Danio rerio: one gene and its partners. The protein of the gene in region 1 interacts with the protein of each later gene in a pairwise test. Links are inferred from orthologs where the notes say so. Each region holds a gene or a part of one and is shown on either strand. Other genes may lie near its edges.

Region 1 (2,798 bases):
CTAAAAGTTTCAGTGTCGTATGTATTGTGTGCTATCAGGTGACATTCTTGCTTTCATGATGTTTACAACAAATTCTGGCATTTTCACCTTTAAAACTTCCCCTCACCGGATAGTTTCTTTTTTTCCGGGCTATTCTCTATAAATACTTGAGTTGACAGTGAATAAAAATAAATAAATAAATAAATCAGTTTCTGAAATATATTTACAAGAGCCATATGGCACCAACATCAATGTCACGTTCAGCCAGTCATTTAAATTAACATTCTTGCCCATTTTCTTGATCGCATCTGCATGCCTAATTTAGTTACTGCCATATAACATTACATGGATGTAGTTTTTTTAATTTGCTTGTTTTTTGTTGCAGTCTTTTTTAATGTTCAAGCCACATGACCAACTTTAAATGAGAGATTTAAAGCATCAGACCTTAATTTGGCTATGCGATGGTATCGAAACAATTCTTCTCATTTCTCACTTTATGATATTTGTGTTTACTTCATGTGAAGAGCATAACCTAAGCAGAGAAGTATCTAATTTAATTGGATCAAGGTAAAAAAGGTGATCTAATATGACTGAATTTGGTAGGAGTAAATAAAATTTCACCAACAATAAGTTTTAGGTGTCAGATCATGATTTTTTTTTTTTTTTGGCATACAATATGTACACAATATATATGAAATGTATACAATATGTCCTTTTAGGAATATTGGGTGTGCTCTGTTGGCACTTTGATAACATATTATAGATATCACATCACAAAAAAGCATCACACAATAAAAAATAATGTGAAAAAATGTTTCTTGAGCTCCAATTAAAGCTAATATGACACTGAAGATGGGATTGAAGACTGCTGAAAATGCAGCCTTGCATCACAGAAATAAAATACATTTTTAAAAATTGACAGAAAACAGTTGTCCAGTGAACAAAATGCAGCTTGAGAGAATAAGCATCATCTTTCTAAGATGTCTGTATATTTTATTGCAATTGTGTTACTTCAAAACAAATAGTACTATAGTTCAAATCGAAGTAATTGTGTAAAAGTAGCAAAGGGAATCAGTTTTTATTGCAATACATTAAAAATTGTATAACGCTGTTCTGCAAAAATATATCAAATTTAACAAAAAGGTTCTTGTTGCTGGTGGCAATTATCATTCATTCATTCATTTTCTTTTCGGCTTAGTCCCTTTAAAAATCAGGGGTCGCCACAGCGGGATGAACCGCCAACTTATCCAGCATATGTTTTACGCACTGGATGCCCTTCCAGCTGCAACCCAACACTGGGAAACCTGGTGGCATTTTTCTCAAGTTTAAATAACAAAAAGAGACAAGCATTTAGAGCACAGCTACTAGAGCCAGAATTATATTTCTTTAAAATATATATTTTGTTATTGATGTTCTATTAGTAAAGGGTTTGTTGAAAATGCTGACAGGTTACATTTTGTTTATGATTTCGGCAGAAAACTATACTATGCTGCCGTTGAGTTTGGTCCACTCAAAAATGTCCTGCTCACACACAATGTCCGAGTTGATGAGCAGGTAACGATCTCCAACACAGAAGTGTTTCTGACAGGCAGCACATTTGAAGCATTCGAGGTGATAGACTTTGTCACGCACACGCATGGTCATTTCAAAGGCCCGGATCCTCTTTTCACAGGAAGCACAGAGTCCGTCCTGACCAAACAGTCTGAAAGGAAGGAAACAATATAGTGATTATTTTGACCAACAGAGGGAGCTATGAGCTAAACTTATGAAAGGAATATTCACCCATTTTACAGTCTATGATATTTGATTAAAATTGCAATTCTGTTATTTACTCTCGATACAATTGTTCCAAACCTTTTTGAGTTTTTTTTTTTACTTTAGTGAATACAAATGAGCTTCAATGAAGGTGCTTTTTTATGTTTTAAAATGGGAGCCATTGACTTCCATTTTTTTTTCTACGGTTGTCAATGGTTTAACAGCCTCCAACTTTTTTCCAAAATGTCTTATTTCAACAGATAAAACTCACAAATATTTTAGTACATTTTTCTATTCAGGTAAACTAAACCTTTAAATGCTTTTGCACCACTACAGCAACAAAGAACCTAGGCTTCATCTGAAATCCTACTATAAAAGAAACAAATATGTGACAAAAGTAATATGTTCCCAGTTGGCACCTGGATGTCAAAACGACATTCAAAAAGACATCACAAATTAGGGCTGCACGATATTGGAAAAAAACGTACAATATTTTGTCATATTTATTGCGATATAAATAAAATTTCACCAGATGATTTGAATAACTTTATTGGGAAAGATTTAATTTATTTAGATTGACTGGGATGATCAAGTATTTTTCTATGGAGTACATGTGCATAAATGATAATAGATTAGAAGCAAAAATAAATAAACAGTGGTATAGCTTTCAGGAAATGTCTGACAGTAACTGTAACAGCAAGTACAGAAATGGAATCAAACGTAAAATAACATGGTCATCATTGGGGAAAAAAATAATAATAAAAAATAATAATAATAATAATAGGTGACGTAGTGGCGCAGTAGGTAGTGCTGTCGCCTCACAGCAAGAAGGTCGCTGGTTCGAACCTGAGCTCAGATGGCGTTTCTGATTTTGCATGTTCTCCCTGCGTTAGCGTGGGTTTCCTCCGGGTGCTCCGGTTTCCCCCACAGTCCAAAGACATGCAGTACAGGTGAATCGGGTAGGCTAAATTGTCCATAGTGTGTGTGTGTGTGTGTGTGTGTGTGTGTGTGTGTGTGTGTGTGTGTGTCTGTGGATGGATGTTTCCCAGAGATGGGTTGCGGCT
Region 2 (4,420 bases), on another chromosome or scaffold:
GATTGGGAAAAATGTGACCACTCATGGGTTGTTACTGAAATACTAACCAACAGGTTATAGTAAATAAACTACACACTTTCTCCAAAGCCGTAGAGACCGATTACAGGAATCAGATTCATATGAATGGATTAATCTCAAGTTCTTAATGCATGTGCAAATGCACACAGAATTTTAAAGTTCCATCCACCCACATTAGCAAACTTAATTAGACGGTTTCAACAACAGCCTTTCCCCCTCAAGACACTATTAGAACAGCCTTTCTCCGAGACCACTTCCCCATGATGGGATGTTTGTCCTCTGACCTAAAGCAACTGTGTAAGGTGGCCACCTTCAAAACTAAAAGGGTCCTGAGAGATACAACCATGCAGCACAAAAGCGTACCTTTTTCCTTCATGAGATCTTTCAGCGTTTGCCATTTAACATCATAGGGAATGTTGCTGACAAACACGCTGTATCTCTTGTTGGGGTTCGAATAGGGTTCGAACCGTCCCCCACCACCACGCTTCGGGGGCCTTTCCTTTCTCGATTCATGGTTGGACTTGCCGTTCACTGCATTTCTGTATGGAAAGAACATGCAAATTAATGCTTTTTGCACCCAGAAAGAAACAAATTCTATCCTGAATGACACAAAACTACATTATGCAAGCAGGTTTGAGTTGATTGCAGATTTTTCTTTACTCATTTAAATAGTCTAAGTACTGTGTAAACACTTGATGTTGTTTCAATGAAGTGAACTATAGAATAAATATCTAATAAAGCCTTTTTTCAGTTTTCAACTTAAGCAATTTAATAAAAATGCATTATGTAAGAGAAGTAAAAATGTACAAAATAGATAGTTTGCAAATGAACAGCTGTATATGCTATGCTTTTGTTTTGTTTTTTTAAAAGCAATTGTTAATTGGGTATGGGACGATAACCGTTTTTAAGGTATAACGCCATTTGGAAAAGACAAGGTTTCAAATCCACCAAAATTTCCTACTATACCACTCCTAAGGTATGTGTAAGATTTTTTTCTTTAGTTTTGTTTAGGACAACAGTATCTGCAGCAGAAAAGATATCAAAAGAAGTTGTTTTAAATTATAAAGAAAGCTGTGTTTTTGAAACTAATGAAGACAGAAGTCAATGATTTATTTTCAATATTCAGCCTGACATGTTTACTGCTCCAATTTTTTTTGTTTCTCAAAAAAAAAAATTGTGTTTAAAAGAAGGGAAAAGTTTTAGTTTTTTTTACCCTGACATTTAAATATAATATACTTTAGAGCAGTGAGCACAACACCATCAAACCGTAATAGTTTTATCCAAGGTTATCAAACTGTCAGAATCTTACACCAGCCTATGCAGAATGTTAACAGACTGCAAAGTTGTTGGTCTTTGGTGGGGAAAATGGAAAAGATCTTTAACATGCAGCTGGATTTTGACCAAATTTCTTTGATTTTGGGTATACCTAAAGGACACATTCTTTTTTTCCCATCAAGAAATTGTATCATATTAACCTTAGCCACCAGAAAAAAAATTTATTTTACTTAATTGGATTTGTGATAAATCCCGTTAATTCCCCTGGAACATCTCACCCACGTTTTACACACACAAAAAAATATTCAAAGTTTGGATTCTAGATTTCGATTATTATTTTTTTAACAGTGCCTGTGCCCAATCAAGCTAAAAATACTGTAACTGTTCTTATCATCTAAAAAATGAGCTATGTTTTTAACCTTTCTTCTGATCTGTTTTATTTGGGGTATTCCTGATAATCTGAGCTTTTTTCTCGATTTTCATTGTTTTTTGTTGATATCAGGGCAGGGCCGATATACGATAGGACATCGAATTGCAATAAAATTTGTAAATGATAAACTCTGGACTTTTTTGTACTCTATATTGATGTAAGAGCCAATCACACAGCATAAATAAGCAACAATTGTAATGTAAAAATGTTGATATTAGAAATGTATCGATTTTTTTCGGCCACCGAAAATATGTTATGCCATTTAATGGACCCTTTCATTTTTGTGGCTTCAGTCATTGTTGAGGTACTCAATTCATTCTGGAAGCATTAACAACTTGCATCAAAATATATATCGTTATCGTTCAATATGGAAAAATGTATCGAGATCTTTTTTGGCAAATCGCCCAGCCCTAGTTGATTTTTATTTGCGTGCTTTTTGAAGTTACATTATGCATGTATTACTGAAAAATCAAATACACAATTACATTAAAAGCAGTTGTTTTCCCCAACAATTAAGACTAAAACCCTGAGAAAATGTTTTATATTTATATACAAAAGAGTCAACTCGTGTTTGTTACCCAATGTGAACTATTATGTTTCATCTGCAGGCTTTATTTCGCTTAGAAGACACATTTGTGTGTGGCGTTTCCCATGCTGGTTTCCTGCAGCGTGATTCCAACGCCTTTGTTTCGGCAGGATATGAATGAATCAACCAAGCGAGTTTGGAATTAGACATTAAACGTCGGTATATTTACTGCAACTTAAGTAAAAATAACTATAGGTACATCATACACTGCAACACTCCACACCTAACATTGACATAAACAATTAAAAGGCAAAACATGAAAACAACATGCAGTTGTCGCATTACCCTTGGCCTGTTTTCTCTGGCGAAGCCTCAGTCGACATTTTGCTCTCAGATGTCCGCGTTTTCTTCCTTCCAGATTAAACTGCTCGTGGATCCTCAGACGCGGTTTATAAACACGCGTTTATAGTTAAAAACAAAGGTAGGTGTTCAGTCGCTTTTCCGTCCCGTGAGGTGTCGCTAAACCCGCACAAAAAATTCAGTCGCAACTCTCGTCCTTCGCCTGCTGAAATGGCGGCGATGCTGAAAGAGCGACGCTGATATTGGAGGAGAAGGAGAGATGCATGATGGGAAACAGACTGACGCAGTTTAGTTTAAATCTCAATGGATAACGTTGTACCTACGAGCACTATTTTTCTCCACAGCGTTATTTTATTTGGAAAAAAATATATGTATTTTGTATAAACACAAGAGTATTTTTGGAGAGGTGGTTTGAAAAGGGTTTTGTTTTAGTTTGTGAACTGTTTAACATTCCAGGGTATCCTATGAAGAGTTTCTTGTAACTTACAATTTAACTTCCCTGTAACTCCCATGGACTTTTCTTTTGTTTTCTGTGCAATTTATTCTATTATTGATTCCTTATTTAGAGATGTAACTTGGATTAATTTGCCCATAATCAATCTAGCTCATTTTTTTGTTACAAATAAAAGAAATATCTTTAAAACTAATTCATAAATTCTATCCGGTTAAACATTAACTCAGTAAATTTAAAAAGGAAATTGATATAAATTGCTCGTTTGTACTTTGCATTTGGAAAATGCAATCATATTTATTTTGTTGATTAAGTTTCATGTTTATAAGTGTACATTTTCTAACAAAAAATCCTGTTTTACTTTGTTTTATAAGGAACTAAAAAAAAAATACTTTTGTACTATTCAGCATAGTGCTAAAGGCCATTAAAACGGCCCATTTGTGCTCTAGTTTTAAAATCTTTGATTAATGAACAGGTCCTGCTTGTCTGTAATTGTAAGAATTATATTGAATTATTTATGCTCTTGTTTTTATTTATTTTTTGTACTGTTATTAATATTTACTGTTCATCACCCTGGCATTATTTTATTTGCTATATTGTCATGTATGTGTAAAACCATAATTTAAAAAATGGATAACAGTATTTGTTTTGCCATAAAGAAGGATAAAAAAACTATAAAACAAGAGCTCTTTTTCTTGAAATCAGTTTCTCTACCGCTCCTGCTGTCTCATATTGGAACATTGATCATATTGGTCTTTTTGATCATGAAAATATATGGTCAATACAGCAAGTTTTGTCTTACTAATAAGGTAAAGGAAATATCATTTAACTTTTTAAATAACATTTACCCTGTCAAAAACACCTTAAAGAAAAGATTTGGATCAGACTTTAGTACAAATTGCTCCTTTTGTCAAAATAGTGCTAAAACTCTTCCTTTGTCATGCAACCGTGTTCCAATTTTGGCAAGATGTGAATTTATTTATCTCAAATATTGCTTTACAGCTTTTTTCTGTGACTCCAAAAGTAATTATTTTTTTATTTTTAAAGCCTTCAAATTTTAATGTCTACTTTATAATAAACATTCTTTTTATGCAGATTTTGTTTTATTTATACGTTAAATGTACATTTTCAAAGTGCAAGCCAACATTTATAGCATTTCATACAAGAGATTCAAAATTATTACTAAATTCCAGATTCACTTAACAAGAAAGCACTTAAAACATACTCTTAAATCTCTTAATCACTGTTATCTTCTTATTTTGCCCTCTTCACTCTCAATTTGATATTTCTTAGTTTTTTTACTCTTATTTTGCTTTTTTTTATTCTTCATTGACAGCATTTTAAATAATCTAATGATTAT
Region 3 (4,235 bases), on another chromosome or scaffold:
TCAGTCACAGTTAAAACTTTGAGTACATTCTCAAAGTGCTTCTGTCACTGTGTTTAATGCTTTTTGTGCAAGACTGTATGGTATAGTTAGTGCCAGACGAACTGTAAAGTGTTTTTATTGGTAGTTCATTTTGAAATAAAAATTGTGAAATGTTCGTTAAGAGTTACTTTTTTCGCTGGAGGAAACAGCTGTGCTAATGAGGTGAACGCAGAGAAAACCCCACTGCTCCTCCATGACACTGGGATACAGATGATACAAGGTTATCTATATCAAAGAACTGCTAATAAGCAGACATTATAACACCTTGTTCTCTCGACGTCCACGGCTGTGGTTTGCTGATCAAATGAAAAAAGAAAAGAAGGGGAGGAGCGGAATTCTGCCGCTGTTTCATATTAAATTTAAAGGTGACTGAGGCAATAATTGAGTGTACAGTTCATGAGCTAATCGCAAAAAGTTTTAGGGGGGCTGAGTAGAATAGGCCTAGCAACACCCATGTAAATATGTAAATAATAAATAATACTGCTAATAATAATAACATTACACAAAAGCAAATTGTAATGAATAAACTAAAAAAGCCCCCAGAGATAAAGAAGGCATGAAATTATGGTTTTTATATTTATGTAGGCTAGAAAAGAATATTTTTGTTATATTTTAATCCTTGAATCCTTTTTAATTTGTAAAGATATTTGTGTATTGCTGTACACCTTGTATGTATTAAGCAATGTGTCAGCGAGGTGCACAACTAACCTGCTCTGCGCTGGACTTTAGACCTGCTTTGATCTGGTCTATTGAACAGACAATTTAATTCTGTCACGGTTGCAGGTTTGTGCACCTTTCGGAGTGTCTGTTTGGTCACGTGGGTTTTGTTTTGGTTGTGCACGTGTATTGGTTATAGTCACGTGCTATGACTATACTCTCTGTTTTGATTAGCTCACCAGCTGAGGCTTACTATCGTGCCTATATCTGGGCGACGCTTCTATGTTTCTTTGTCAGTTCGTTGTGTTTGCTCGTGGGTCTGTCTGTGCTTAGGACTGTGAGGAGGACCCCGTTCGTCTGTCTGTTTCCTACCCTGTTTTCCCAGTTGTCCTTGCACACGCATACAGCCCTGTTGGTTTGTTTTGACTGCATCAAATAAACACGTTACTTGCATTTGGATCCTTCTCTAAATCTTGTTTGATTGTGACAAATTCCTTAAAATAGCAACGTGCCTTAATACACTTGGTTTTTTAGACCAGAATGCCTATGAGCGCTAATGCATTTGTTATTTAAATAACGTGGTGCAAAACGTCAAAATGACTCTTGCACCATGCAGAAATTAGCAAACAACCTTTGAGTCGCGCCTTGCGCCTCATTGCACCGGGTGTATGATAGGGCCCAAAGTGTTGACCTGCTTTACTGTGGAAAAAAAAACATTCATTTACACTATATCGCCGACCCTGTCTACTTCTTCCCACAACAAGACCGATTTGTCACAGCGGTGTTTAAATGTCTGTACTGCACTTCAACAATGCGACTAAAATCAGCATACTCCACATGTCTTAATTCCATTTCTGTTTAGTTCGATTATGACTTTAATCGGATTAAATTAATCAAAAATCGCTGTTTACTCTTAATCAAAGAATTGTCCTAATTGTCCGGATTATTGGTGTCCATGTAAACATGCTCTTTGTCTCAAAATGATGATGATTGGTAGCAATTTATTATGCAAAAAATTTTTAATCATTATTTTAAAATCTCACCAGTCATGACTCTCAATCCAGTGACATAGATATTGTCGGATCTCCATTGGGAAAGCCTCATCGTAAAGCTGGTCCACTTGCTCCAAATACATTGAGTCCAGCAGCTGCAGCTGGTTCCAGAGCGTCATCTGCAAACATAAAATTGCAACCCGTTATGCAACCCTCTCTGCGTTGACATTTCTCACCAAGCACCTTGTTTTATGAAATTATTACTTTAGTTATTATTGCTTTTAATATTATTTCCATTAATAATAATAATAATAATAATAACAGTAATAATAATAATAAAATAATATTAGAGAGATTTTTAAAGGATCATGGAACTCTAAAGACTGGAGTAATGAAGCTGGAAATTCATCATTAAAATCACTGGAATAAACAATTAAATTAAATGACAAACTACTTTTGAACAGTTATTTTATAGTGCAATAACATTTCACAATTTTACTATTTGTACTGTATTTTTGATGAAATAAATACAGCCTTGGTGAGCAGGAGAAGCTTATTTTAAAACATTTTAAAATCCTGCTGACCCCAAACTTTTGACCAGTTGTGAATATAAATACATATATACATTTTTCACAATAAATGGGACTTTTATAAAATATTATTTATTTTAATTAATAATTTAATTAAAAGTAGTTATAACTTTACAATTTAAAATGTTTGATTTATTTTTAACTCATTGTAAATTGTAAAAAAGTTTAATAGCCATCAAGCCCATGCATATAAAATCTTTTGCATAAAAGTCATGCAGATATGATCAAAAGATATGAGAAAATGAAATAGCCATCTACAGCAGAAAATTATTTTAAGAGATCCCTAAAGCTTCTAATCTATGCAATTAATTTACTTATTTAAAACGTTTTCATTTTCTAAAATGTATGAAATGAAATTACAAATTACATGATATGACATTCACTAATATTTCATTACATTATAAACAAAAAGCTGCTTTACGTGGCATTTCATTATCTCCAGCTTTCCCATAGCATTTTGCATGAACAAACTCATATAAAACGCATAACATGTATTACCTTTCAACGTGGACGTTTAGTCAAGTCACTAAAGGAGTGTATCTCGGGATAAGCAGATAAAATACGCGTAGACTAAACTGTCTGCTTCAGCCTTTTATTCTCCTCAGTGACTTCGTAATTATAGAATACTCACAGAGGTGGATGTCACATTAACTTCTCAGGCCAATGGTAACGCTTTAACTGCCATATTTAAATACACCAGCGATGACAACCAATCACGTTCTGATGCGTACAGTAAAAGCACGCCCCCTAGCCAATGGCTGTTCCAGGGAAGCGCAGCCCTCCCTTTACTCTCACACTCAATACAGAATAGGAACTGATAAGAGAACAGAAACTCAGCGAAACACAAAGATGTTGTTATGCCTTTTGATGGACGGATACTAATACTTCATAATAAGATGATAACATTTCATTATTTATTTCTTAAGATACATAAGAATAGCTATATGATCAATAAAACGCGTACGGAACAGAAAGTTCATGCTGAGATGCTTGTTGTCAGGGGGAGGTTACGAAACTCATAGCACAGCCACTAGCCATCGGGTAAGCACACGTTTTCCGAGAAAACGAGAGTTAAAATCAAATGCTGGAAAGAAACAGAAACGAAACTTGGATTTGTCAATTCCATGTTATGTTTTTGCACACCACTGGGTGAAGGAGTCCTAATAAATACCAAACTGTATAAATTTAATAACACTATTCACTTAAATGCTCATTTTATACTCAATATAACAAAACACTAAATCATTTATTTCGGGAGTGTACTTACTGTAAAGTGTTTTGGTTTGACTTTTCCAATTTCATTAAATTCTTACTCCAAACTTGTGTATATACCCCAAAAATTATATTCTTTGGTTACTTTGTACTTAGATCATTCTCTTTGTAAAGGTACTATTAGTTCATTGCTTTTTCTAGCTAAATTTTATATCTATAAATGTAAATTTTCAAAGAAACATCCTTTTTTTTTATTATTAGGAAGGATTCTGATGTATACGTGAAATACTTAAACTTGAATAATTATATTGCATTTCTTGTTGTAAAACATTTAAACTTTTAGACTCTTGTTTTCTCTCTTTGTTCATATTGTATCTTTGTAAATGTTAAATGTTCTTAAATGTAATCTAGCACAGACGATTATTCTGGTAAGATTTTACTTTTAGCTTGAAACAAAGTACCAAGATAGAACTGCAACTCAAAGTTAAGTATATTTTATTATGAAGACTCAATCTCAATATTTTGTATATTGTCTTTATTTATAATTCATTATTCATAAGTGTAAATGGGAAATAAATAACCTAGTTTTACTTATTAATTACTACCTTTGTACATAAAAAAACAAGAAATAAAAAAGTGAAAAAAGTTTCAAACGTATTATCTTAAATGATTTGTTACTATTTACACCAAAATTTGAGAATGGATGTCTTGTTGTTAATTATATTTTTATTACTTACTACTTTTT

What was found.
Region 2: the proteins of lmo2 (region 1) and hnrnpm interact in binary tests that used the Homo sapiens proteins (3 or more experiments, as listed by UniProt). The link is inferred for Danio rerio from reciprocal best matches to the Homo sapiens genes LMO2 and HNRNPM.
Region 3: the proteins of lmo2 (region 1) and stat1b interact in a two-hybrid assay, tested with the Homo sapiens proteins (2 studies listed by BioGRID and IntAct). The two-hybrid records come from large-scale screens. The link is inferred for Danio rerio from reciprocal best matches to the Homo sapiens genes LMO2 and STAT1.

What each region holds. Positions count from the first base shown.
Region 1 is NC_133193.1:41,222,827-41,225,624, reverse strand, and holds the end of lmo2 (rhombotin-2), read right to left. Parts: intron 1,682-2,798; coding exon 1,459-1,681; 3' UTR 631-1,458; downstream 1-630. UniProt on the Homo sapiens protein: Acts with TAL1/SCL to regulate red blood cell development. Also acts with LDB1 to maintain erythroid precursors in an immature state.
Region 2 is NC_133197.1:17,222,978-17,227,397, reverse strand, and holds the start of hnrnpm (heterogeneous nuclear ribonucleoprotein M), read right to left. Parts: upstream 2,846-4,420; 5' UTR 2,633-2,845; coding exon 2,595-2,632; intron 558-2,594; coding exon 382-557; intron 1-381. UniProt on the Homo sapiens protein: Pre-mRNA binding protein in vivo, binds avidly to poly(G) and poly(U) RNA homopolymers in vitro. Involved in splicing.
Region 3 is NC_133184.1:42,946,851-42,951,085, reverse strand, and holds the start of stat1b (signal transducer and activator of transcription 1b), read right to left. Parts: upstream 2,852-4,235; 5' UTR 1,868-2,851; coding exon 1,740-1,867; intron 1-1,739. UniProt on the Homo sapiens protein: Signal transducer and transcription activator that mediates cellular responses to interferons (IFNs), cytokine KITLG/SCF and other cytokines and other growth factors.